Coturnix japonica: one gene and its partners. The protein of the gene in region 7 purifies or fractionates together with the protein of the main gene of each other region. This does not show direct contact. Links are inferred from orthologs where the notes say so. Each region holds a gene or a part of one and is shown on either strand. Other genes may lie near its edges.

Region 1 (4,087 bases), on a different chromosome or scaffold from region 7:
GTGAATATGCCTCACCCGGCCTCTGATGTTCTCAGAGTGGCACAGGGGCCGTGGATTCACAGCCCCACCCGGCAAGATGAACTAACAACTCCAGGAGCCCCCAGTCACACAGTTAGAGCACTGGTTGCTCACCTTCCTGCAAGTGCTGCTGTGCCTGGCTTTCTCACCCTTGAAAGGCAACCACAAGGTAAGCCGCAAGCCCAAGAGGCCTCCAGCTGACTGACTGCAGCTCACACACTGGCTCCTGGCCAACACAGCCCTTCGAGCTTGACTTGGTTTGACAGCTACCAAAACCACTGTGCACTGGTACGTCCACCTCTCTGCTTTCACATCATCACAGAATTGTAGGGGCTGGAAGGGACTTCTGGAGAGCATCTAATCCAAACCTCTGCTAAAGCAGGTTCCCTACAGTAGGTTGCACAGGAAAGCATCCAGGTGAGTTCTGAATATCTGCAGAGAAGGAGACCGTGCAGCCACGCTGGGCTGCCTGCTCCAGCACTGTGAGCCCTCGCAGTTCTCCCGGCTGAGTGAACCCTGTTCTCACGCTAATCCCGACTTCCTTTGCGAGGCGCAGAAGAAATGCCCAGCACTGCTACATCGTCTCCGCCGTTTGTAACCCTGGAGGTGTGGCGGAGCAGGACCGCGTGGGTGTGAGGAGCAGAGGGAAGGTGAGCTGCTTCCTCGTTCCTCGCGGTATTTGGTTACGGGCCACCGCTGCCGTAGCGGAGCCCCTCATACGTCCCTTTGCCGCCCTGGGAGCGTTTGCAGACACACCACTTCCGCCGTTTATTTATTTACTTACTTCGAAGAACACGGCACACCGTAAACACGCGGCTGACTTATTAATCACTTTTAACAGCGGAGCGGACCGGGTAAGGTTTGCTTCCTGCCAAACCTTCCTCAGGACGCCGCGGAACCGCTTGTAACTGCTCGGGAACACCGAGAAACGGGCTCCGATTTTACACGGGGAAACCGAGCGCTAACACGAAATACAGCCGGCGCAGCACGGCCCGCTGCATTCATGGCGTCCCACCGGACCAGGCCGCGCCCAGCGCCCTCCAGCCGGCCCGGCCCGGCCCCCCGCGCCGCCTGCCTGCAGGGGAGGCGCTGCCCCGAGCCCGGCGCCGTAGGGAGGAGGCCCGGCCGGCCCCCGCCACCCTCCGCGCGGCCCGGCCGTGGCTCCTCCTCCCTGCCTTCCTCCTCCTCCTCCTCCTCCCGCTCGGTCCCAGGGCGCAGGGCTGACATCACGCTCGGGGTTTCCATCCGACCGCGGGAGGGGGAGGCTGAGCGGCGTGATGGCGGCGGTCGGCAGGACTTGAGCGGCGGCGGCAGCGGAGCGGCGCAGCGCAGCGCCCACCCTGCTTATCTTATCTCCGCGCCCCTCCCTGCCCGCTTCGGGGTCCATTGTTCGGTGCCGCCGAGGGCGGCGGGAGAGCGTTCCGCGTGGGGTTGCCGGGAGCCGGCGGCAGTGAGCGGCGGCCCAGGCCCCGCCGCGGCCGCAGGAGCAGCTCCCGACCGCGAGCTGCGGCACGAAGCGCCCCGCGCGGCGCACGCAGGCTCGGGCCGGGGAAGGCCTGTCCCGCAGAAGCAGAGTCACGCAGGTAGGAAGCGGCCCGCCATGGCTCCTCTTCCCCACGCGCCGGACCAGAGTTGTGTGGCGCACGGAGATGGATCGGGCGTGCGGGGCTCTGGATAAGGGGCGCGGGGCTGTTTTCTGCGGAAGGAGGAAGGGAACAGCGAGGGCCGGGGCGGCCGGCCGGATGGTGTCGAGCCGCTCTCGCTGGCTCCTGCGGGGGGAGCCCGTGCCGAGCCGGCGGGGAGCACAGCGCGGCCTTGGCTTTCCTCCGGCCGTGGGGGGCGCCGGGGGAAGCGAGCGTGGAGGACAGCGACGGCCTTAAAGACGCTGCCGGGGAACCTTGGCCGGGAGCGACGGCTGTGAAGGCCGCGCCGCCCGCCCAGCGCCGGCTCCGGGGGCGGGAGGCAGCTCTGGACGGGTCCCCGCGGCAGCGCCTGGGGGCGGACGGAGGGAGAGCGGCGGCGGGGCTCCGTGCGGGTCGCCTCGGAGCGAGCAGCGGGGCCGCTCACCATGTTCCTCAGGGCCCCACGGGATGTTTTTCCGCGCGTAGGGCGCGGTGCGGAACGCGGCCTCCTCAGGCAACGGCCGCCGAGCCCCGGCCTCGCCTCGCGGCCTTTCGCGGGTTAAAGGGCTCTTTCTAATCATTTTCCCTCCGTCATCGCCTTTGTTTGCTGGCCTGAGTGGCCCAGTAGCTGAGAGGGGTCTGAGCATGGGGAATTTCCCGTCCCTCAGCGGCACTGCTCTCACCCTCTCCCCCAAGGAAGGAGAGCAGGGCCGCTGCTCACCAGGGAGAGCACTGCGGGGCAGGGAGCCCGCCGGCAGCTCTCACACCAGGAAACATAGCAGGAGCTGCTTTCTTGGAGTGAGTTTGTGCTTGTTTGTGCCTAGAGAGCAAAAGTTTAGACTCGTGATGCATAGACTGCATCTGATACTACAGTCATCAAACCTAAGGTGCTCCTGCACGTGAAATGAGGGTCATTTCTTCTGCAAAATCTGGCTGGTTTGATTAAGTTTGGACTTAAAAAAAAAAAAAAAAAATAATAATAATAAAAAGCAGTGTTCATCCTGCTTCTGCCCCCAGCTGTATGTAAATAGCATGTACGTGTGTAGAAATGCTTCCACTGTGTTAGTTTCTGCAGATCTTGGCAGAGCATTAACATTTATAGTCTTTTCCAATGTGTTCAGTTTTTCTTCTAAATGTATGGCTGATTTGTCCCGAAGTCAGAACTATAGTAAAAGTTAATCTGTGAGGCGCAGTGCACATGCACAGTAAAGCATTCTTCTTGCTCTACAGTACTGAAGTGAGGGTCATTTCCATAACGTTTCCTGTTCTGCATTTAGTGGTTTAGCAGAACTGTCATCTTTAGAGCAATGTCAATGAAAAGTTGCGCAAAGGAGTGTAATGGGACCTGACTGTAGTTGGCCAAAAAATGCACAGGTCTTTCCTTTTTTGCATTTTACATGTATGATTCCTCTCTGTTATTACTGTTTTGTCTAAGTACAGCAAATAAAAAGACTTGTTGGGAAGAATGGGAACCATGAATGGGTAACATAGAATGCAGTTTTTCAGTTAAAAAGAGGACATGAAATGTGATGCATGCCTGCTTTCGGTGTTAGTATGACAGGCCAAGGTGTTTCTGTTATATTTTTAGTTGGAAACATAAATTTCAATTTTTGTCAGTGTTTTCCTTTATCGTTTTAGGTATTTGGGCAAAAATCTTAGCCAAGAGAATAGCAAGACACATTACTTCAAAAATATACGGAGTACCAGAAAGGGGATTCTTGACATACACCTTGTAACCTGAGTGGACTTCCTTTTTAACTTCTTAATACTTACAATGAATGGGCACAGTGATGAAGAAAGTGCAAGAAACAGCAGTGGAGAGTCAAGGTAAGCACTCATTTCAGTTGTTCTTGGATGTGCTCTTCTGTACTTTCATTAAAATTGATTTACAGTTTAACTTTGTGCCAGATTAGTGAGCAAACTAGATAGGAAAACTGGGTGTGCTTTCTTATAATGCTTCATCTGCTTGTTACATTCATATTGCTTCAGCTAAAAATTGTAATGATCATGCAGATACCTTATATAATAAACCTTAGATAGTATTAGAATTACATCAGCATGCAACAGAATAGTGTTACTCTTTTGAAGAAATAAAATGTTTGAAAATTCAAAAGCTGAAATAGGACTGGAAAGTTAAAGTTAGAGCTTAGAATGTGCAAGGCCATCTCCAATATGGGAGCAGTGAGCTGTTGATTTCTGTTTTTGACTTGTAGTACTTCACGAGGCTTCCTTTTTCACAGAGCTGTTAAAGCAGTGTAATCATTGAAATTGTTAACTGTCTCTTTTCTGAGATGGGATTGCAATTTACCAGCTTCTTTATATTATTTTTAATTACAAGGAAAAGAAAGGATAATATAATAATTAAACTGCAACAAGAAAAGCACAGTCCTCTAATACTGAATTCCAGTGCAGCATTCACTTGGTGTAAGTCCCCAGTTCAAATTTTC
Region 2 (4,222 bases), on a different chromosome or scaffold from region 7:
ACCAAGTATGACTAACAATAAACTGTCCCACAAACCCTGCAGCCACTATAAAGCTGCATTTAATTAACACCAGTTACTCATATAGGTACTTCAGTTCCCAGATCACACAGTCAGGCTGCCCAGGTACATCTGCACGCTCTGCAGTGTTCCCTACCTGTGACTTTCTTCTCATCATCATCGTAGTTGCTGGATGTCAGCAGCTGCCCAAAGATTAAAGCAGGAACATACACTTTTTCTACTTTGTGTTCAACAACTGGGATACCCTTCCCATTGTTCCACACACTGATGGTGTTATTCTCTCTGGAGGAGGAGGAAAGTATAATTTGTAAGGCTGCAGATGACTGAGCTCTGAAACAAATAGACAAGATCTCCACAGGAAGGCCACCATTTCATCTACAGACAGATTCCTGTTCAGCAACTGCGGCAGCAGCCAGCAGAGGGAGGGCAAGTCTACAAAAAGCCCTCCAGCTTCAGACCTGCAGAGCACCAATACAATGGAGCAGCACACAGAAAGCGTGTGCTCAGTGCAACCACAGCCTGGCAGTCAGTGCTCTGCAACAGAACGAGGAAGCACACAAGGAATGAGGCTGTTACAGCCCATGAGCCACGGTAGGTTTAACATGAATAGGCCTCGACACTGAGCTCTGCAGCACCTACATCAACAGGATGATGTACATACACCAACAGGGCAGTGAGGGAGTGAGAGAATGAAGCAGCTGAGGGGGGAAGGCATTGGACAAAAGCAGCACTCACGGGTCGATGGTAACTTTGATGCAGGACATGCTTTTATCCCTCTGCTTGTTGTCTGCAGCGTTGACTGGAAGGGGAAGGTGACTTTTATTAGAGCGCATTCACAAGTGGGACAATAGACATAAACCATAGTGAAAGGGCTAAATCAGGTGGGGTTTTCAGTAGAACAAATGCAAAGATCCAATGCAAAACCACCAATTAACTCTTTGGAAGGGAGATGTTTGGCAGGTTACAAAGAAGGACGCTACAATAACAGCACCCACAGCAGAACTGAGGGTTAAACGGGCTGTAACACAGCGGCCGTGTCCTTTGGAGGGCAGGTACAATGCTGGGCTGCACTCACCCAGGATCTCATCGAAGATCTTGTACAGGCCAGGCACGAAGGTCACATCCCTGCAGTTGAGGCCCACGTCCTCATCGAACACCCACATTTGCTGCAATGAAGAAGGAGCCACATACAGCACACACATACACCACATATAGCACATATAGCACATATATCACATACACCACATATATCATATATACCACATACACCACATATATCACACATGCCACATACATTACATACACCACATATACCATATATACCACATACATTACACACACCACATATAGCACATATATCATATATACCACATACATCACATACACCACATATAGCACATATATCATATATTATATATACCACATGCATTACATACACCACATATACATACCACATACAATACATACACCACATATATAATACATACCACATATATCACATATACCACATACATTACATATACCACATACATCACATACACCATGTATAGCACATATATCACATATATATCATATATACCACATACATTACATACACCACATACATTACATATACCACATACACCACATATACCATATTTGCCACATATACCACATATATCACATATACCACATACATTACAGACACCACATACATTACACACACCACATATAGCACATATATCATATATACCACATACATTACATACACCACATACATTACATACACCACATACACCCCATGTCACATACATGTCACATACACCCCATGTCACATACATGTCACATACATGTCACATACCACATACATTACATACACCACATATACCACATACACACCACATACATTACATACACCACACACAGCACATATATCACACATATATCACACATATATCACACATATATCTCACATATATCACACATATATCTCACATATATCACACATACATCACACATACATCACACATACATCACACATACATCACACATACATCACACATGTATCACACATGTATCACACATGTATCACACATGTATCACACATGTATCACACATATATCACATCACACATATATCACACATGTATCACACATGTATCACACATGTATCACACATACATCACACATACATCACACATACATCACACATACATCACACATACATCACACATATATCACACATATATCACACATCACAGGTCTCCCCACCTGCGTGACGGTCTCCACAGACCCGATGTACGTGTCCGGCCGCAGCAGAATATGCTCCAGCTGCGTCTTCTTCTGGTAGATGCGCTCCACCGAGAGCCGCTTCTGCGCCACATCGGCCTTGGGCAGCCGGGCGTTGTCGTGAAGGGGCTGCGGGAGAGAGCGGAGCTCAGCGGGGTGGGGAGGGAGGGATGGAGGGAGGGTCTGGTCGGTCCCTCACGTACCCGGAGCGGCGCCGGTGAGTCCATGAGCTCCATGGCGGCGGGCGCGGAGTGATGGCGGCCGGTAACGGCGCAGCGCGTTTCAAACCTCCGCCGAGCCCGCCGAAACGCTCCGCCAATCACAGCGCACCGCCCCTTGAAAACAGCCAATCGCTGAAGGGCGGAGGGACGTACGGCCCGCCCTCCCGTGCGCTCCGCTCTTTCAAAACCAGACAGTCGGGAGAGGGGGCTGCTTGATGGGCAGGTCTGGTAACCAATAGAGGAGCGAGGAAGGAGGGCGCTGCGAGGCACGCAGTACATCGTTTGGGGGGCGGCGGCGTGCGGGGCAGTGCGGGACTGTGCCCCCCCAAAACCATCCTCAGCACCACGGCGGCATCCCAGCCCCATATCCAGCCCCATATCCAGCCCCATATCCAGCCCCATATCCAGCCCCATATCCAGCCCCATATCCAGCCCCATATCCAGCCCTATATCAGCCCCATATCAGCCCTATATCAACCCCATATCAGCCCCATATCAGCCCCATATCAGCTCCATATCAGCCCTATATCAGCCCAATATCAGCCCTATATCAGCCCCATATCAGCCCCATATCAGCCCTATATCAGCCCCATCCCAGCCCTATATCAGCCCCATCCCAGCCCTATATCAGCTCCATATCAGCCCTATATCAGCCCCATATCAGCCCTATATCAGCCCCATATCAGCTCCATATCTGCCCCATCCCAGCCCCATATCTGCCCCGTATCAACTCCATATCAGCCCCATACCTGCCCCATATCAGCCCCATCCCCGCCCGCCCATCCCGCCCATCCCGTTCATCCCGCACGGCGGTTCCATTCGGTTCCATTTGGTTCCATTCGGTTCCATTTGGTGCCATCCCGAACGCAACAAATAGAAGCAGCGCGTTGTAACCGCCCGATGTGCAGCTTTGATTGATCCTTTATTTATATCCGAGGAAACGTGGGCGCTGTGTGTGTGTGGGGGGGGGGGGGGGGGCTCCGTGATGGACGGGGTGTCCGGTGTCCCGCTGCTCCCAGCCGCAGCCCCCCCCAATTCCGGGGGTCTCTCACCACATGTGTCGGTACGGGAAGGCGACCTCCACGCACAGCACCGCCAGCTCCTCGGAGCAGTTTCGGCGCTGCCCGGCCAGCAGCCGGCCCGGACCCAGCGGGGCCGCCAGACCCTCCCCGGGGCCGGAGCTCCGCCAGCCCTGACAGTCCCGGCGCTGGGAATGGCCGCCCCGCCCCGTGGATCCGTGCCACGCCAACCTGCGGGGCCTGCGGGGAGACGGGATGACGGGGAGCCCCGGGGAGACCCCCCGACATCCCACCCTTCGTGGGCCGGGACTCACCAAAGGGCATCGCTCAGCACGTTGCGCCCATTGAACGTGTAGATGGGGCTGCGCAGGGCGGCTCCAGCCGGGCTCTGCAGGAGGGAGCTCCAGGAGCGAGCCAGCAGCTGGCCCTAAGGACACGGGGGGGGCAATGAGCTTTGGGGGGGGGCAGTGAGCTTTGGGGGGGGGACAAGCGTTCCTCAAAGCCCGCTGTCCCCATTGCAATGGCTGTGGGTGCGTCTCGGTGCAAGGAAAACACACGGGGAGCCCGTGCTTGCTGGGGGGATAAAGCCCTGCCTTCAGGTTGACGATGGGGAGGGTCCTGTCCGTCCTCTTGACGATGGAGGCCAGGTCCTGGCTGGGGGCCGACAGGAACGCCCGGAAGGTTCCGTAGAGCCCGG
Region 3 (2,720 bases), on a different chromosome or scaffold from region 7:
TATTGCAGTTCTGTGTTTCAGTCATACCAAATAACAGTAGTACCGGTGTTATCTCCAGCTGGTGCCCTTACGTAAGTGTGGCATGCAACTCAGTGGTAGCTGGAGTTTGAGTGTGGTGTGGGAACATTTTGAAGCAACTCAGAATGCAAGAACATACCTTGCAGATAGTGCTGCTACTCCTACTCAATGCGTGAACTCTTACCTGGTAGATGTTTTGTTTCAGAAAAGACGTAGCTTAATTGCCTACAATTCCTTCTTCAGTGTCAGTTCAAAGGTAAGAGTTTCTCCTTAGGAAAAAGCACTTAAATTCCCCTTCCAACAGAAGACTTCCAACAGAGAGAGCGGGGCTCGGGCCAAGTACATCTTTGGCAGAAGGGAATAGGAAGCGCATACAGCTTGGTCTTGAGTCAGGTCACAGTGCTACATAGTGAACAGGCCGTGTATTAAAGCACATCAAATCCATCTGTAAAGGAAGAACCTGCTGACCAGTGAACTGTCTGATGTAAGGTTTCAGATTCAGGTTGGTTATTACTGTGATTTATTTGTCTGTTTTTAATCCTAGGTCCTGGGCAGCATGATTGCATTTTCAGTGCGGTACCAGCTGGTGCGCTTATTTTATGATGTCTGACTGAGCTTCCAGGAGCGGCACCTTCCAGTGAACTGTACTAAAACAATTCAATTCATCTGATATTTTGATCTGAAAACTTGAAGCCACCTTTCAAAACACGAGGAACTGCTCCAGGCCGGCCTAGAATCACAGTTCTCTTCTTATGGACAAAGCGTCTCTGTCCTGTTCTGCTGACAGTCAGCACTGCTTGCATGTCCTTGCTACCGGGAACACCTTTCAGATGGGAAATAAGCAACACGAATCTGTACAGAGTCCTTAGGGAAAGCAGGAGAAATGGAACGTCTAAATGTAAGAAACATGTTGCTGTTCCTTGAGAGAAGAAATAAGAACTGCAGCGTCTGTGAGGCTGTACGGCAGAACAAGTGAGCTGGAATTGCCCTGTTGGCTCATGAATGAGTCCATGGATGCAGAATGACGTGCTGTAATCGTACCTGTACTCAGGGCGTTCTGAGAATAAAAGAACTCGAGGTACATTGCCATCTTCGGTTCTGCCTTGCGGACATTGACGTGCGCTGTGACATGGCCCCGCCCCCTGCCGGCGCTTCGCCCCGCCCCCCGCTCACGTGGCCCCGCCCCCTCACCGTACCCGGCCGTGAGCGCCAACGTCCGCCGCGTGGTACGAATTTGGCGCCTTGTCTTCTGATTGGTCCGTCGCCGCCGCCAATAGGTGGGAGGTGAGCGCCAAGCCAGCCAGTCAGCAAAGAGGTTCAGGCGGCAGAGCTCCAATAGCGAGGCGCTGTGGCGCCGTCCAATCAGCGCGGCCCTGCCTTGAGGGAGGTTATAAAGCGCCGGGGCGGAGGCGCGTTCCCCTTGTCCCGCCGCAGAGCTCCGCAGATCCGCGTTGTGTGTCCGGTCCCTGCGAGGCGCCATGTCTGGCCGCGGTAAGAGTGGCGGTAAGGCCCGAGCGAAGGCCAAGTCCCGTTCCTCCCGGGCCGGGCTGCAGTTCCCCGTCGGGCGCGTCCACCGGCTGCTGCGGCGCGGCCATTACGCGGAGCGGGTCGGCGCCGGCGCCCCGGTGTACCTGGCGGCCGTGCTGGAGTACCTGACGGCCGAGATCCTGGAGCTGGCGGGCAACGCGGCCCGCGACAACAAGAAGACGCGCATCATCCCGCGCCACCTGCAGCTGGCGGTGCGCAACGACGAGGAGCTCAACAAGCTGCTGGGCGGCGTCACCATCGCGCAGGGCGGCGTCCTGCCCAACATCCAGGCCGTGCTGCTGCCCAAGAAGGCGGGAGGCGCCGCCAGCCCGGCCAAGGCCGGCAAGAAGGGCGGCGGGCAGCAGTCGCAGGAATACTAGGCCGCCGGGCCGGGCTCCCCTTCCCCCACCAGCACACAAAGGCCCTTTTCAGGGCCGCTCCATTGCTCACCGGGAGAGCTGCGATCCGAGGGAAGGGACGGCCGGGGGCTGCGGGAACGAGGGGGAGCTGCGATGGGAGCGGGCGGGAGGCACGGCGTGATACTGCAGTGCAGTCACATAATGCAGATACGTGATGCTCTTCCTAAAGACACCTGGTGCTCACAACGTGACTGCTGCATTCAGCAGACATTGCACAGGAAATAAACGATGCTTCAGCTCCAAAACCGGAACCCAACAATGGGTTATTCTGATGTTTCTGTAAGGCACTGCAACATGGCAGTGCAACACGATGGTTCAACCATGAACTAGAGGCAAATTTCTTATGCTTCAGCACAAAGATTGCCAGTTACTGTATATCAATGCCTGTCCTCATTCTACATCTATGTAGTTGCACTGGGAACCTAATGCTGATCTCCTTCAGCATTCCTGAAGATACCAGGGCCAAATATCCACAATTTCACTAGTTTAGCAGAAAACACTTCTGTGCTGTCAGCACAGTGCAGCACTCCAGCACTGCCCCTGTTTAGTCTGACTATAACCTGTATTTGGTGCTTTGTTACTAAATGCAATTGGAGAACAATTGCTACTACATCTCTCCTCGCAACAAAACCCTTTAAACGCGTTTCACAGAGATTTTACAACTCAGGTAAACTTAGAAAAGCAAAACTCCAATTTAGTACTTCAAGTATTTTATGCCCAAATGTCAGACAAGGCTGGTGCAAGTGTTAAAAACGC
Region 4 (2,992 bases), on a different chromosome or scaffold from region 7:
GAAATTGACCGCGGCAGGATTGCTGAACCATCAGTGTGCAGGAACTGTAACACGACGCACAGTATGGCTCTGATTCACAACAGGTCCATGTTTTCTGACAAACAGATGGTACGTTGTGCTTTGATATTGGATAAAATGAAACTTTTTTCCAGTTCTTGTTTCCCATCTCCCCTAATATCATCACAGCATGAAGGTATGCATCTTGAGAAGGAAAGTTCCTAATTGAAAATGATGCAGGAAGCTGTGATAATACAAGATCTTGTATACCTTGTGTACAGCTTTCTTTTTTTTCTTACTTTCGACTTGGTTTTATTTGTTTTTGCTAGATCAAACTGCAGGAATCCCCTGAAGATATGCCAGCCGGACAGACACCTCATACGGTTGCACTGTTTGCTCACAATGACCTTGTTGATAAAGTTCAACCAGGCGATAGAATTAATGTCACAGGTAAAATTTACTTTATTTGCATTTTCCTTTTTAACTGAACTGTAGTAGTTTAATCTATGAGTCTGCTTGTCTGGCAATTGGACGCTTCTTAAGACATATTAGTTAATATGTTTCTTTTATCTAATGCTGTCATTAATTGTATTTAGGCATCTACAGGGCAGTCCCAGTTCGAGTTAATCCGAGGGTCAGTGTTGTAAAATCTGTCTATAAGACCCACATTGATGTCATACATTATCGCAAGACTGATTCAAAACGCCTGCACGGTGTTGATGAGGAAACGGAGCAAAAAATGTTTACAGAAGAACGTGTGGCATTTCTAAAAGAGCTGTCTACTAAAGCAGACATATATGAGAGACTTTCTTCAGCACTGGCCCCAAGTATCTACGAGCATGAAGATATCAAAAAGGTAAAAGGAATTGTGTATTTTGCTTGTAAAACATTTCTGAATTGCAAGTACTCTTTAATTGTTTGCTATACAAATGAGACTTCAAATGAGTTGATATTTTGACTTTAAAGAGCACGTTTGTTTTTTTAACAGGGCATTCTACTTCAGCTCTTTGGAGGATCAAGAAAGGATTTCACTCGCACAGGTAGAGGCAACTTCCGTGCAGAGATCAACATTCTTCTCTGCGGTGATCCCGGCACTAGTAAATCCCAGCTACTCCAGTATGTGTATAACCTGGTTCCTCGAGGCCAGTATACCTCTGGGAAAGGCTCAAGTGCGGTTGGTCTTACTGCATATGTGATGAAGGATCCAGAAACTCGGCAGCTGGTTCTTCAGACAGGCGCTTTAGTACTCAGTGATAATGGCATTTGCTGCATTGATGAGTTTGACAAAATGAATGAAAGCACAAGATCAGTACTTCATGAAGTAATGGAACAACAGACTCTCTCCATTGCAAAGGTTGGTGTCTGCTTAAGTCCAAGTTTTTTGTTCTAAGCATCAGCTCAGGGCAGATGAAACCAAGAAGTTGCCAGAACCAGGGTTGTACTTTTCCGGTGTTGTTAGGATTTCAATCCTAAATTATATAACATCTCGTGCTTATGGACACAGGGCTATCCTTGCATGAACTGTATTATTTCCAGATGCTTTTCTTCTTGCTTTACTCTAGTAGGCTTCTGCAATGAGTTTTTCTATTATGAAACCCTTTAAATGACACTGATCTTATGAAGGTTCTGAATCCAGAACTGCTTTTTCATTTTAACAGGCCGGAATCATTTGTCAACTGAATGCTCGCACATCTATTCTAGCAGCAGCTAACCCAATAGAATCACAATGGAATCCAAAAAAGAATACTATTGAAAACATCCAGCTTCCTCACACACTGTTATCAAGGTACTGAACCCTTCACATGTCTCATGTTTTTTTTACCTGTTGTGAAAAGGATTCAGTATGGTAGAATCAGAATTGCAGCTTCTGCATGAGTGGAGATCTACCTTCTAGTCTATTCATCTTGAACAGAAGATCTGATAAAATCTGTGGATCTTAATCTTTGTTGTGTTCTTTTGTTGGCTTTTTTTTCCTTCCCCCTTGTCTCAAGATCATCCTCTGGAGGAGTTACCTTGAACCTTACAGTAGTTGGTAACTTGAATGGAAACCCAGCATGATTTTCATAACCCTGCACAAGTTTGAAGTGAAACACTGATGATTAGGGAACTTGCACTGGATGTGGTGGACTCTAAAGTTCTGTGCCTGCTTGTTTTCATCCTGTGAAATTCAGTCAGGGAGGGGGCATAGATCTCCTTGGACAGTAGCTGTTAAAACAGCATGTAGCATCTGCAGATGTGAAATTAAGCTATGTACTTTAATTGCATCTGGTGAGCAGTTCCTACACTAATTTAAAGTATATGGATGGTATGCTGGATATTCTGAGAACACCATTTATAGTTCAGAATTCAATGAAAGGCTGCTGACAATGACAGGTAAGTACCTTAGCTGGGATATACCGAAGGAAACTAGGTTTGAGCATGTCTCATTTCTGCCATTTATTGGATTTAAGGTTTTGAAAATACGTGACTAACTAGCTAGAACATTATTATTTACAGTTACCTACAATGTTACCTATTGTGTGCAGAACTAATATTTTGTATTTATTTTAAATGCATATACATCTATATGAATATAGTGAATAGTTATGCACTTTGGTTGCTGCTGCTTTTCAGGGCAGCAGCTCTTACAGTAAGTTTGTTCTGTGTTATTTGTTTAAAACTCCCAAAGAAAAAAGACCAAGTCTGCCTTGAACCAAATTTCACAAAATGTATCTTGTCTTCAAAGTGCATATGTTGAAAGCAAATTCAAACTGATCTGAGGGTTAGACTCGGTGATCTAGCCAGCTGCAGTTCTGTAGTGTTTTGTATTTAAAGGTGTTTGAGGGAAAAGTACTCTTTCAGTTTAAAGAGCACCCTTCATTTGGAGTAGTATCTCCTAAATCTAATTGTGAAGTGAAAAACCATAAAAGAATCAACTTTAAATTGCAGGAAAATATACACGCTCATATTTGATTCTTATTCCGTTCAGGTTTGACTTGATCTTTTTAATGTTGGA
Region 5 (2,590 bases), on a different chromosome or scaffold from region 7:
TTTGATGGTTGTTCTATGCAGCTTTTAAATGTTTGACATGTCAAATGGAATAAATGTCTGTTTTACGTAGCTTTTAATGGGGCAAAATACTTGAGATCTTAAAGGAAAATAAATTGTTTCAGACTCGGTTCTGTGTCAGGCTTGCAGCATCTGGCAGGGCTTTCTGTGTTGCTCATCTGCTGTGCGGTGGCTGATAGGATCTGATAGGGTAGATAGTAGGCTCTGGAACGGTTCTCCCTATTCTACTTCTGTGGCTTCTTTGAGTTGCTGGACTGCTTTTATTGAAGTAATGTCTCCTGTAGAGCAGTTAAACAGTGCTGGTTAGGAATATAAGGAAAAACATAACAAGGATCTACAGCTCAGGTGAAATCTAATGGGAAAGAGCTTCGATCTGCTCTGGCCTTCCAGGTTTTTCGCCTTTAAACAATCTCCGCCCATTCAGTAAAATGTTTCGTCTGTTTAGCACAAGCACTTCACTGAGGACATCCAGACAAGACAGTACCGTTCCTTGGAGGTGTTGATAGGGTCGGGGTACAGCAGCCCTGCTGACATCTGGAGCACGGCGTGTATGGTGAGTGCTGATCCAGGGACTGTGGGCTGCTGCTGTGGAGTGTTCTGGTAAACTTGTGTGCTCTGTGCACTCTGCAGTCTGCTGGATCTCTAGCCAGGTCTGGCAAAAAGCCCAAAAACAACCCAGACAAACCCAGCAACCTTTGAAAGTCAGGGTTTTGTTGTACGATGCTGGCAGAACTGAAATAGAACTGCACTTCACTGTCATGCTCTATTGATGAGCAAGATGGCGAAGCAGTTCTGAAGACAAGAATCTTTGTATAAAGGGCCTTCTTGGTGCATCCAGCAATGTTTCATAGATGTCTTAGTATTCGAATCCCATGCATTGTCTGCATGTTTGAAATGGTAAGAAAACCTGCTCCGAAATTTACTATAGCTATGCCTGTGGTGTTTTTTTAGTGCTGTCATTAAAACTATAGAATGACTGTGCATCTTGAGATGGTCACAGCATGCTGGAGTTGTGCAGATTATTCTGTTGTCTGCCTTTGCTGTGGTGAGCAGCATTGGGTGGAATCAATCTGTGGTACTTCTAACAATGTGTGAAATGCACTGAAGTGTTTTAATTTTGCTTATTGCTGTTTTAGGCCTTTGAACTAGCAACAGGAGACTACCTATTTGAGCCTCATTCTGGAGAAGACTACTCACGAGATGAAGGTAGGGCATGAAATACAAATCCTTCAGAATGAAAGCTTTCTTTTATGCACAATATGAAATCGTTTAGACTGATGTTAAGGGACTGCTGTGCTTGACCATTTGCAGTAGAAGCTGGCATTCTTGTTCCTGATATCTTCCATTCCTTTAACTCTTAGGTTTTATCTTTCTTCTCTAACTCATCATTCCTGCATCTCTTCATCCCCATACTCCAAGTCTCTGTCTTTGCTGTTGTGATCTGATTTTGGGTGGATGCCAAAGTAGTTTTTGAGGGGGGTTGTGTTTTTGTCCATAACATTCCAGGGAGAGAAACTGCGCCATACAGATAGATGTCTTTTGTGGATATGTTATTCTGTCGTTTCTCTTGAACAAAATGCAGATCACATTGCTTTGATCATAGAACTTCTGGGGAAAATACCTCGCAAGCTCATTTTGGCAGGGAAGTATTCCAAGGAGTTTTTCACCAAAAAAGGTAAAAGGAAATGAAGCAAATGTTATTCTTTTTTCCCCTTTGCCCCACATCTGAATAAACAAAAGTACCTTGCTGGAAGTAGCGCTTAACAACACGTGCCAGCAAAGACAGCTCTTCTAAGGTCTGTTTTATGAGAGGAGGAAAACAGTAAGACAAAACTGCAGCTAAATCTGAAATATCCTCGTCTGACTGCTAAAAATATTCGGTGTCTGGTTATTTGGCATCTTGCTTGTAGATCAAACACAGCAGATTGGAAAACAGTGCTGTATGTGTTTATCATAGAATCACTGAGACTGGAAAAGACTTCCAAGGTCATCTGGTCCAACCATAATTTCTTCAGCCTGGAGGAGGCAAGAGGTTCTAGCATCAATTTTCCTGCAGCATGCCCCAAATTTTATCTTCCCCACATTTAACTATTAAGGAGAGCTCTTTGGATTCAGTCTGTGCTTGCTGTTAGTTCTGTTGTTTGGCTGTTCTACAACCATGCCTTGAAGTTAACATACCTGTCTTGGTTTTCAGGTGATCTGAAGCACATCACTAAACTGAAGCCCTGGGGCCTTTTTGAAGTCTTGGTGGAAAAATATGAATGGTCCCAGGATGATGCAGCTGCATTTACAGACTTCTTACTACCGATGTTGGAGCTGATCCCAGAGAAGCGAGCTACAGCAGCAGAGTGTCTCAGGCACCCCTGGCTTCTCTCTTAGGGGCTTCAACCCAGTGCCACTGCACTGCACTCTGGTTTACAATATAGAATACACACCCCCAGCTGCCCCTTCCCAGATCTGTTTTTTTTTTTTTTTTTCCCTTGTTCAGTTTGAGCGTGAAGTTCTTCCTTCAAGGCTTCCAAGATTTTAGATAAATCTAACCTGTTCTGCTGAGTTTGCTGTTGTGACTCAG
Region 6 (4,026 bases), on a different chromosome or scaffold from region 7:
GCTGTCCATATTGACCTGTGCATCAAGTGCGCAACACCGAAACTCTCAATTCACTTACGATCCTCAGGTTTGAAAGCTTTTTCACAGCACGCTCTTCTTAGCTGTTAATAACTTAGCAGGGAGTGAGCCAACAATCTCCCAGGTTGTCTTCCAACACGAGTTTTAGTAAAGCAAAGGAGCATTTCCGCTTGGAAGTGGTTTACTGAAGACAAAAAGCTGATTAATAGGAGCTCACACATCCAGACTACACTAGAAAATCGGTTTGTTTTTAGTTCCCAGTTCCTCAGTTAACGTGGATATTAGCACAGCACGACGCGCCTTCCCAGAGCTGGCGCACTGAGGCATTTGTCAAATCAGAGCCTTTCCTTTGTTCAAGCCTGATTCCCTCCTGCCAGTCTTTCTCCAGGCATCTTTTTGTGCCTGGTACTGCTCGGTACATGTGCATAAGCAGCCCTCCTGTTTACCTTTCAGGAGTTTTTCATAGTTTGTTATTCTATTGTAGCCCTTCCATAGGACATTGCTTCTAGCGAACAGCTTCTTCGCTTGTTTATTTCTTCGCTGCAGTCACGGGATCTTATAATTTACATAACGTGAGGAATTTATTGTCTAGCTTTCTAAGCTTATACTCTTCTGTTTATTACTTCAGATAATTTCTCATACACATTTTGTGCAACGTATTACTGGAGGTGACAGCTTTATGCTGTTTTGTCCCTTCTTCTGTCTTCTGAAACTCCAGGACTTCCTTCAACCACAACACATTATTCCTCGCAATAATCAGCTCTATAAGGTGAGTCTTTCTTCAAAGCCTAACATAAATTTACTACTCCCTTTACATCACTTGGAAAACAAAGCAGCCAATGCACGTGTAATTAGCTGGTACGCTGTCACTTCAACGTAGCCAAAACAGTGACAAGACCTAAGGAATGTGACAAAGACTGTGAGATCTATACGGGTTTCTTCTTCCCAATGGACAATTAACAGTAGCGTGGAAGCACACAAATAACTAGAAAGAAAGTAGGGTAAAAATTGGTATGGCTGTATACTTGAAGAACAGAGAGAAGTATGCATTGAGCTATTCATTCATACACAGCCCACTCACATCATCAGAAAGAGTGAATGGCGGTATCAGTTCACTGCTGCTATGATTCATTGTTTTAGCTGTCCTTTGTCCTCCTGTAAGCAGACGTTCGAACAGCACTCATCTTTTCATTCTTAAGATGCATCTCATTTCATGCTCAACGGCACCTCGTTTTATTTCTGCTATATTTAAACATAACGTCTGGGAATTGAGCTATGCTATTCATGACCTCGAAACTCCTAATGATCGCACTCTCCCACAACCTATGTTGCAACTCCTGAGCTGGCAGCATCTATGCCCCCATTTCTCCTTTCCAAGTCCCATCTTAAAATATCTCACCATCCACCAAGTTTGGGCTTTGCATGTTAATTCTATACAGTTCACGGCTCTGCTCTGAAATGGAAGAGCAACAGCATCTCCTGGATCCGACAAGTTTAAATACACCAGCTTTGGGTCTCACCGATTACCCGATTCTTAAAGTTCTGATGAGACAACCTGACTGCTACCTAAACTAAATGTTAAAATTAAAGGCTGAATGAACATACTAACACAGACATCCACGTGGAGGAACAGGCTCAGCATACCCTGCTAACAAACATCCCAGGCCTGACTTTCTCAGGTAAGCCCAAGCAAGGCTCCAATTGTCCCAAGTATTTAGATAGACGGTTTTCTTTTGTATACAGCCGGAAATGGTTCAAGCTGTACCCCTTTGGATCAGATGTGCTGGCGGGTAGTAGAAACAGAAGCCTTTATTACTGAGCAAGTAATTGTCTTAAGTACCAGGTACTTAAGAGGACAATGGCCGATACCTACTCAATAACGGCCAGTCTGGAGTTCCTGCCGCCTTGTGTAGGTAGAATTTTCTACTCGAGCTCACAAAAAGCACAGCCACATACATCCTATTAACTCCTATCATCAAAGTTGAGCATCTCTGCACGCAGCATTCTCCAGGACCTTCCCCGTTCTCAGCAGATGATGCTTGCGGGTACCGTTCCCTACGATGCAGCTGCAGGTCGGACCGCTCCTCAAGCATTTCAAACACACTCAACATCAACACGAGCTCCCGTATCTCCAAAGGAGCTCCCCAAAACTTTCTCACGGCATTCCCTGTCCGCTGTGGCACAAACCAAGTTTCCTCCGGCGGGCCGGAGCTGCCCGCGGCGCTGAGCGGACAGGTGCCACCCGACCGGCCGGCGGTGCTTGGCGCTACGAGGATGACACCCGCCGGACTTCCCGGGCCGAGGTGGGAAATTTGAACGAAATAAAGAAACACCGACCCCGCCCCCCCTCCCCTCCCCGCCCACTAACCTCCCCTCGCGACACCCCGCCATCTATCGCGACAGACGCGTCCCCAGCGGCCTTACCGGGCGTGCAGTGGAGGGGCGAGGGGCCGGGCGAGGCGGGAGGGGGCGGCGGCTCCTTGGTCGGTGCGGCGGGGGGCAGCATGAGGTAGCGGTCGGGCTGCGGCAGGCAGCGCTGACACACGGTGTGGAGGCAGGGCAGCAGCTTGGGCTGCCGGCTCTGGATGGGCTGCCCGCACACGCCGCAAGTGTCCAACAGGTTGAGCGGGGCCGCCTCCCCGCCGCGTTCCGCCGGGCCCTGGCGGCTCTCGGCCTCGTTCTCCCCGCTCAGCGCCGCCGCCCCCGTCCGATCCACCGGGCACGGCCCCCCCTTGGCCGCCGCCGCTTCCGTCGCTACAACCGTAGCCGTCGCTTCTTCCATTGTCCTGAGCCGGTCTACGGAGCGCCGAAGAGAGGCGGGGCGGCCCCTCCGTCCGCCGCCTTTCTCCCGCCTTCCCTCGCCGACACCCACCCGCGGGCGGCCCGCGCTGTTTGTGTGCGTGCCCCGGGAGGAGGCTGCCCCGCCGCCACAAACGGCCAACGGCCGCCCGCGCCCCGCCCCGCTCCTCTCCCCCTCCGCTGCACGCCCCTCCCCGCTCCACACCCCCGGCTACGTGCGGAGCGAGCCGGCCCGGCCCGCCCTCGAACCAACCAGCCCCTTCCCTCACGTAGGCCCCGCCCCTCATAAGCCTCCCCCGCTGTAGGCCGTGCCCCTAATGGCTCTCATCCGCAGGCGGTCTCCTCACCTCTGTGCGCAGCCCTCACCACCCAAAAACAGCCCTGCACCCCACCGGTTCGAGTTCACTTTGTTAAAGACTTCCAACTGCTGCAGCCCGAGTGGTTGGGCCAGGAGGCATGTAGACATTTTGGCCTGTGTTCAGTTTGGCCCGTGGCATCGATGCCTCTGTTCACAGGCACATCGCCGAACTGAAGTTGATAGGCAATCAGTAAAACTTTAAAAGTACAGATCTAGTTTGGACGCACCGTTCTGCTGAATCAAATGCTTAAACTTCAGTACACACGCTGATGTAAAACATTGCCTATGTATTGGTCACAGGTCAGTCATAGGCTGATTCACGCTGATGCCAGATGGCTCAGTAGCCCGCTTTCTGGCAATCCCTTCTAGATCAGAGATAAATGTAATTCCTGGTTCCAACTCAACTATACAATATCAGCTCAACAGACAGGGAAGCATGACATGACACCAGCAGCACTTGTCCAAAGCAACTTCTGCCTCCCAACCTGGCTCAAATCCTGCCCTCCTCTCTACCATCTTGGCTGTGCAGCACTATATGATGGTGTTCTATTTAGTCCTTGTGACAGGAGCTAATGTGCCAAGACTGTGTAAATGCTAAATGATGAAACAGGGTCAGGAATTAAAACTAATGATAACGGCATGAGTTCTGTTAGGTGAAAAAAAAAGCAACAAAACCACCACTGGGATAGGCAGGTGATAACTGAAGTGCATTTGATTAGTTTTAATGGCAAATGATTGGAAAGTCAATGAATAATGTATTTCTAATGAATGACAGGAAACCATGCGTTCATCAGACCAGTTTCTGCAACTAGAATTAGCTGTTTCTCCAGCAGGAGTCTGGACAGGAAAGT
Region 7 (3,991 bases):
ATCACTTCTCACAGCCTGGTTCCCACCCCCACACCCAGCGGGCAGCTGCCATTCCCACGACACCCTCCTGACCCCACATCATGCACCCACCCAACGTCCCCTCTCGGTGTCACCCTCCCGGTCCCCAGCTTGTCACCACGGCATCAGGGAAACCGTGTACACCGGGAGCAGCGTCTGCCGAGGGGTGGGGGGACACCAGCAGAGGAGCGGGGTCCCGTTGGGAGGGTCTCTCACCCGATGAAGTAGGAAAGGATGAGGAGCTGCACGACCCGGTTGACGACGCCCACCACCCAGCTCTTCACCACCACCGACTTGGTGGTCTCGTAGGAGAAGAAATCAGCCAGGCAGCCGGACTGGGAGCGCTGGGGGGGCATGGGCAGCCGGGCGGGGGCACAAGCAGGGGCTCCACAAGGATACGGGTGGGGATACGGGCGGTGGGAAGGGACGGACGCAGGGAGCGAGGCAGGGATACAGGCAGCGGGCAGGGATGCGGGCAGATAAAGGCAGCGATGCGGGGATGTGGGCAGGGATGCGGGCGGGGTGGTGCAGAGGGGTGGGCACAGGACGGAGGGAGCGGGAGGGGGGGCAGGGGGAGATGGAGGGAGGGGGCACGGGGGGAAGGAGGAGGAGGGAGGGGAGGAGGATGTGGGTGGGGGGAGGGCTGAGAGAGGCGGTGAGAGAGGGCTGGTTGTGCGGCGGTGCTACACGGGGCAGCGCTGCCCGGGTGCCCTGGGGGGCTGTGTGCCCTACTGGGGTTGTGTGCCCTGTTGTTGGGGCTGTGTGCCCCGTTGTTGGGGGCTGTATGCCCTGTTGTTGTTGCTGTGTGCCCTGTGTTGAATAGTGTGACTCTGGTTTTTAATGCCCCGCACTCGGGATGGTCCCACTCCGGGTGTCTCTGTGCTCGCGGACCCCGTGTGCCATCTCGCAGCGCCTGGCCGGGTCCCATATCGCTGTGTCCCGCTGTAGGGCTGCCCTTTACGCGGGGTGCCCCACGTTGGCCGTACCCCCATTCCGCAGTGCCCTATTAGAGCTGTACCCCGACCCGCCATGTGCCGGGCACAGCCACCATAACGTCACGGGGATCACCCGGCTCAGCCAATGGGAAGCAGCCCCCCCACTTTCCGGCTGGAGGCCTCCCTCCTCTCTATGGTTCCAGGTGAGACAGACCGCCGCTTCGGGGAGCGGCCGCTCTAGCCCGCCCTCCTTCCACCCCGCCGCCTCCATGCCAGAGCGGCCGAGCGGCGGCTCGTCTCTATGGCGGAAGTGGGGGCGGGTTCCGGCCGCGGCGCGGGAGGCGGTTGTGGGGGGAGGCGGCTTCGCGCGAGGTTCGTGTTGCGCAGGCGGGAAACGAGGGGTCGGCTGACGGGGGGGGGGTGATGGGTGGGGAGGGCGCTGGGGGGAGGGGGTGATGGGAGGGGGGGCGGCCGGTGTGAGCTGTGGGGCGGCGGATGGGGGCGTGGGGCCTAGGAACAAGGGGTGGTAGGGGCTGCTCAGGGCTGTTGTGCCCCTTCTGTAGTGGGACGGGAGGATCAACGGCCCTGGGAGCCCCGGGGAGGCGTTAAGGGGGGGGTGTTGCTGTGGGGTCACATCCCTCACGGATCGCTCTGGGGTTCCCATGTCCGTACTCACTTTCTCCCCCCTCCTCCGCCCCCAGCACGTCGCTGCTCGGTGGCAGCAGGGCATGCCGACCTCGGCACGGAGCTGAACTCCGGCCTCCTCCTGCCTGCCTGCCAGCACGGCCCCCTTCGTCATGGCTGACACGCTGGAGTTCAACGAGATCTACCAGGAGGTGAAGGGATCCATGGTGAGCAGCTCGGTGCTGGGGGCAGCTATCTGGGGTGCTGCCTGATGCCAGGAGTGCTCGCCCCATCTCACAGGCTGGAGGCACACGGTGTGGCTCTGAGGCCTGGTCTCAGCTGTACACCCAGGGGTGCGGTATGGCCCCCCCCCCCCCATCCCTGCAGCTCTTCCGCTGCCTTGTCCTGGCAGAGCTTGTTTTGCTGAGCTCGACTGGAAATGGGAGCTGAGGCGCCTTGTTTCCAGAGCTGAAGCATTTTGGAGCATCAACAGGGGCTTTTAGTAGCAGCCTGTTGCGGAGCTAGCAAGGTTGTGGTTGGGAACGTGTCCAGGGGAAGGGATGCCAGCTTCAAGCATTCACCCTTTGATGCAGTAGCTACTGCTGGGCAGCTGGGTGCTGTAAATCAGCCTGTTCCAGTGCTTGGGGGGGTGGGGCGCAGTGCCATGCTGCAGTGATGTTGAGCATTTCTGGGTTACCCTGTGGCATCTGGGAGACTGTTCCTAAATGCCTGATGGAGCTCTAGTACCGAGGCTGCTGGCAACCCGGCTGCCTGAATCCCAAAGGAGGGTGGTAAGGAGTGCATGGAGAACAGAAACTGGTGGGTGGTTGGGGAATTCGCTTTGCGTCCCCTGGGAGAGCTTAGCAGCTGTCTGTGCTGCGTGGAAGTTCCCACCCTTGGGCTGCTCCCCTCCATGTGCACGGGGCAAGCTGCCTGTACCTCACACCCACCTCCCACCAGAACGATGGCCGGCTGCGGCTGAGCCGCCAGGGCGTCATCTTCAAGAACAGCAAGACAGGGAAGGTGGACAACATCCAGGCCTCGGAGCTGGCAGAGGGTGTGTGGCGGCGTGTGGCGCTCGGTCACGGCCTCAAGCTTCTCACCAAGAATGGCCATGTCTACAAATACGATGGTTTCCGGGAATCGGTGAGTCCGTGCCGTTTCTGACTGTTGTCTGAGCCATGCTGACCATCCTTTCTTCAGCTCGCTTGTGCCACAGTCTCTTTGCTTGCTCTGTATCGGGTTACACTGCCTGCAGGATCTGCCATATCTCACAGAGCTGATCTCCTTCCCTTTAACAGCAGCTGATGTCTGTTTTTTTCTCATCACTTCTCTCGTACCATGGGCAATGTCCCAGTTACAGGCTCTGGGTCGTGCTGATGCGTACACAGCAGTTTCTGATGAGCGTTCACTTTTTCTCTGTTCTTTCCCACCCCTCACAGGAGTTTGATAAGCTCTCAGATTTCTTCAAGGCACACTATCGCCTGGAGCTGGCTGAGAAGGACCTGTGTGTGAAGGGTTGGAACTGGGGCACAGTGAGGTTTGGAGGTGAGTTATGGTAAGACAGGAACAGAGCGGTGATGCTGCTGCTGGAGCAAGAGAGTCTGCAGTGTGTAGGTCAAGGTGGTGGGGCTGGATGGGCATCTGGTGGGTCAGTGTCTTCATCCCACCAGCCCCTGGCTGTTGACAGCTTTAGATGCTCCTCTGGAAAACTGCTCCCTTTTTTAGTGGTGGTTTTGGATACAGTATGGATGTCGGTCATCCCAGGAAAGCAGGAGATACTTGCAGGCAGCACAGCATGTTCGGGGTGGGGGTAGGCAGAGAATGCTCAATGTAAAAGAGAAATCTGCATGGGAGCTGTGAGCATCTAATAGAGCCTGCCAATTCCTCAGGGAGCCAGAAGAGCTGGTGAATGCCCCTCCCTGCTCTGAGAGAGGAGGAAGAGGGGAATAAACAGCCTATTTGTTTTTGATCAATATAATTCTCTGTTACTGTAGCTGGGAGGAGAAAGCCTGGATATCTGCGTTGAAAACATTGAAAAGAAGGGAGGGAGAGGGGAGGCACTGCTGGGTTTTGAGAGAAGAACGATGCTGCTTCTGGAGTTTGGATCTGGGATGGAACTCACCTTGGGTCTGCCCAGCAGGGTTGACCTGAGGTTCTTATCCCTCCCCACTTCCTGTAGGGCAGCTTCTCTCCTTTGACATCGGGGAGCAGCCGGTGTTTGAGATCCCCCTCAGCAATGTCTCCCAGTGCACGACGGGCAAGAACGAAGTGACGCTGGAGTTCCACCAGAACGATGACGCTGAGGTCTCGCTCATGGAGGTTCGCTTCTACGTCCCCCCTACCCAGGAGGATGGTGTTGACCCTGTGGAGGTGAGTGAGGCACAGGAGGGCTAGTTGGTTGCCCTCGCCTA

Evidence for each region.
Region 1: the proteins of SSRP1 (region 7) and CHD1 purify together in Homo sapiens (affinity purification with mass spectrometry; 3 studies listed by BioGRID and IntAct, with this or other methods). This does not show direct contact. The link is inferred for Coturnix japonica from reciprocal best matches to the Homo sapiens genes SSRP1 and CHD1.
Region 2: the proteins of SSRP1 (region 7) and TOP2A fractionate together in Homo sapiens (co-fractionation; 3 studies listed by BioGRID and IntAct, with this or other methods). This does not show direct contact. The link is inferred for Coturnix japonica from reciprocal best matches to the Homo sapiens genes SSRP1 and TOP2A.
Region 3: the proteins of SSRP1 (region 7) and histone H2A purify together in Homo sapiens (affinity purification with mass spectrometry; 4 studies listed by BioGRID and IntAct, counting the BioPlex papers as one, with this or other methods). This does not show direct contact. The link is inferred for Coturnix japonica from reciprocal best matches to the Homo sapiens genes SSRP1 and H2AX.
Region 4: the proteins of SSRP1 (region 7) and MCM4 purify together in Homo sapiens (affinity purification with mass spectrometry; 4 studies listed by BioGRID and IntAct, counting the BioPlex papers as one, with this or other methods). This does not show direct contact. The link is inferred for Coturnix japonica from reciprocal best matches to the Homo sapiens genes SSRP1 and MCM4.
Region 5: the proteins of SSRP1 (region 7) and SRPK1 fractionate together in Homo sapiens (co-fractionation; 3 studies listed by BioGRID and IntAct, with this or other methods). This does not show direct contact. The link is inferred for Coturnix japonica from reciprocal best matches to the Homo sapiens genes SSRP1 and SRPK1.
Region 6: the proteins of SSRP1 (region 7) and TRIM24 purify together in Homo sapiens (affinity purification with mass spectrometry; 3 studies listed by BioGRID and IntAct, with this or other methods). This does not show direct contact. The link is inferred for Coturnix japonica from reciprocal best matches to the Homo sapiens genes SSRP1 and TRIM24.

What each region holds. Positions count from the first base shown.
Region 1 is NC_029547.1:45,465,091-45,469,177, forward strand, and holds the start of CHD1 (chromodomain-helicase-DNA-binding protein 1), read left to right. Parts: upstream 1-1,287; 5' UTR 1,288-1,601; intron 1,602-2,272; exon of another isoform or gene 2,273-2,438; intron 2,439-3,278; 5' UTR 3,279-3,414; coding exon 3,415-3,467; intron 3,468-4,087. UniProt on the Homo sapiens protein: ATP-dependent chromatin-remodeling factor which functions as substrate recognition component of the transcription regulatory histone acetylation (HAT) complex SAGA. Regulates polymerase II transcription.
Region 2 is NC_029542.1:4,104,692-4,108,913, forward strand, and holds the start of TOP2A (DNA topoisomerase 2-alpha), read right to left. Parts: upstream 2,801-4,222; 5' UTR 2,786-2,800; coding exon 2,489-2,785; intron 2,415-2,488; coding exon 2,268-2,414; intron 1,185-2,267; coding exon 1,094-1,184; intron 818-1,093; coding exon 754-817; intron 301-753; coding exon 155-300; intron 1-154. Other genes in the region: collagen alpha-1(III) chain-like, read right to left, coding at 3,555-3,765, 3,840-3,952, 4,119-4,222. UniProt on the Homo sapiens protein: Key decatenating enzyme that alters DNA topology by binding to two double-stranded DNA molecules, generating a double-stranded break in one of the strands, passing the intact strand through the broken strand, and religating the broken strand.
Region 3 is NC_029539.1:24,533-27,252, forward strand, and holds histone H2A, read left to right. Parts: upstream 1-1,214; 5' UTR 1,215-1,496; coding exon 1,497-1,925; 3' UTR 1,926-2,220; downstream 2,221-2,720. Other genes in the region: DPAGT1 (UDP-N-acetylglucosamine--dolichyl-phosphate N-acetylglucosaminephosphotransferase), read left to right, coding at 563-628. UniProt on the Homo sapiens protein: Variant histone H2A which replaces conventional H2A in a subset of nucleosomes. Nucleosomes wrap and compact DNA into chromatin, limiting DNA accessibility to the cellular machineries which require DNA as a template.
Region 4 is NC_029517.1:97,603,929-97,606,920, forward strand, and holds part of MCM4 (DNA replication licensing factor MCM4), read left to right. Parts: coding exon 1-108; intron 109-326; coding exon 327-447; intron 448-593; coding exon 594-853; intron 854-985; coding exon 986-1,351; intron 1,352-1,655; coding exon 1,656-1,783; intron 1,784-2,965; coding exon 2,966-2,992. UniProt on the Homo sapiens protein: Acts as a component of the MCM2-7 complex (MCM complex) which is the replicative helicase essential for 'once per cell cycle' DNA replication initiation and elongation in eukaryotic cells.
Region 5 is NC_029541.1:479,911-482,500, reverse strand, and holds part of SRPK1 (SRSF protein kinase 1), read left to right. Parts: intron 1-463; coding exon 464-571; intron 572-1,154; coding exon 1,155-1,224; intron 1,225-1,600; coding exon 1,601-1,693; intron 1,694-2,212; coding exon 2,213-2,397; 3' UTR 2,398-2,590. UniProt on the Homo sapiens protein: Serine/arginine-rich protein-specific kinase which specifically phosphorylates its substrates at serine residues located in regions rich in arginine/serine dipeptides, known as RS domains and is involved in the phosphorylation of SR splicing factors and the regulation of splicing.
Region 6 is NC_029516.1:55,859,755-55,863,780, reverse strand, and holds the start of TRIM24 (transcription intermediary factor 1-alpha), read right to left. Parts: upstream 2,801-4,026; coding exon 2,443-2,800; intron 1-2,442. UniProt on the Homo sapiens protein: Transcriptional coactivator that interacts with numerous nuclear receptors and coactivators and modulates the transcription of target genes.
Region 7 is NC_029520.1:7,754,018-7,758,008, reverse strand, and holds the start of SSRP1 (FACT complex subunit SSRP1), read left to right. Parts: upstream 1-1,191; 5' UTR 1,192-1,325; exon of another isoform or gene 1,326-1,354; intron 1,355-1,654; 5' UTR 1,655-1,750; coding exon 1,751-1,804; intron 1,805-2,537; coding exon 2,538-2,723; intron 2,724-3,019; coding exon 3,020-3,125; intron 3,126-3,759; coding exon 3,760-3,950; intron 3,951-3,991. Other genes in the region: P2RX3 (P2X purinoceptor 3), read right to left, coding at 235-374. UniProt on the Homo sapiens protein: Component of the FACT complex, a general chromatin factor that acts to reorganize nucleosomes. The FACT complex is involved in multiple processes that require DNA as a template such as mRNA elongation, DNA replication and DNA repair.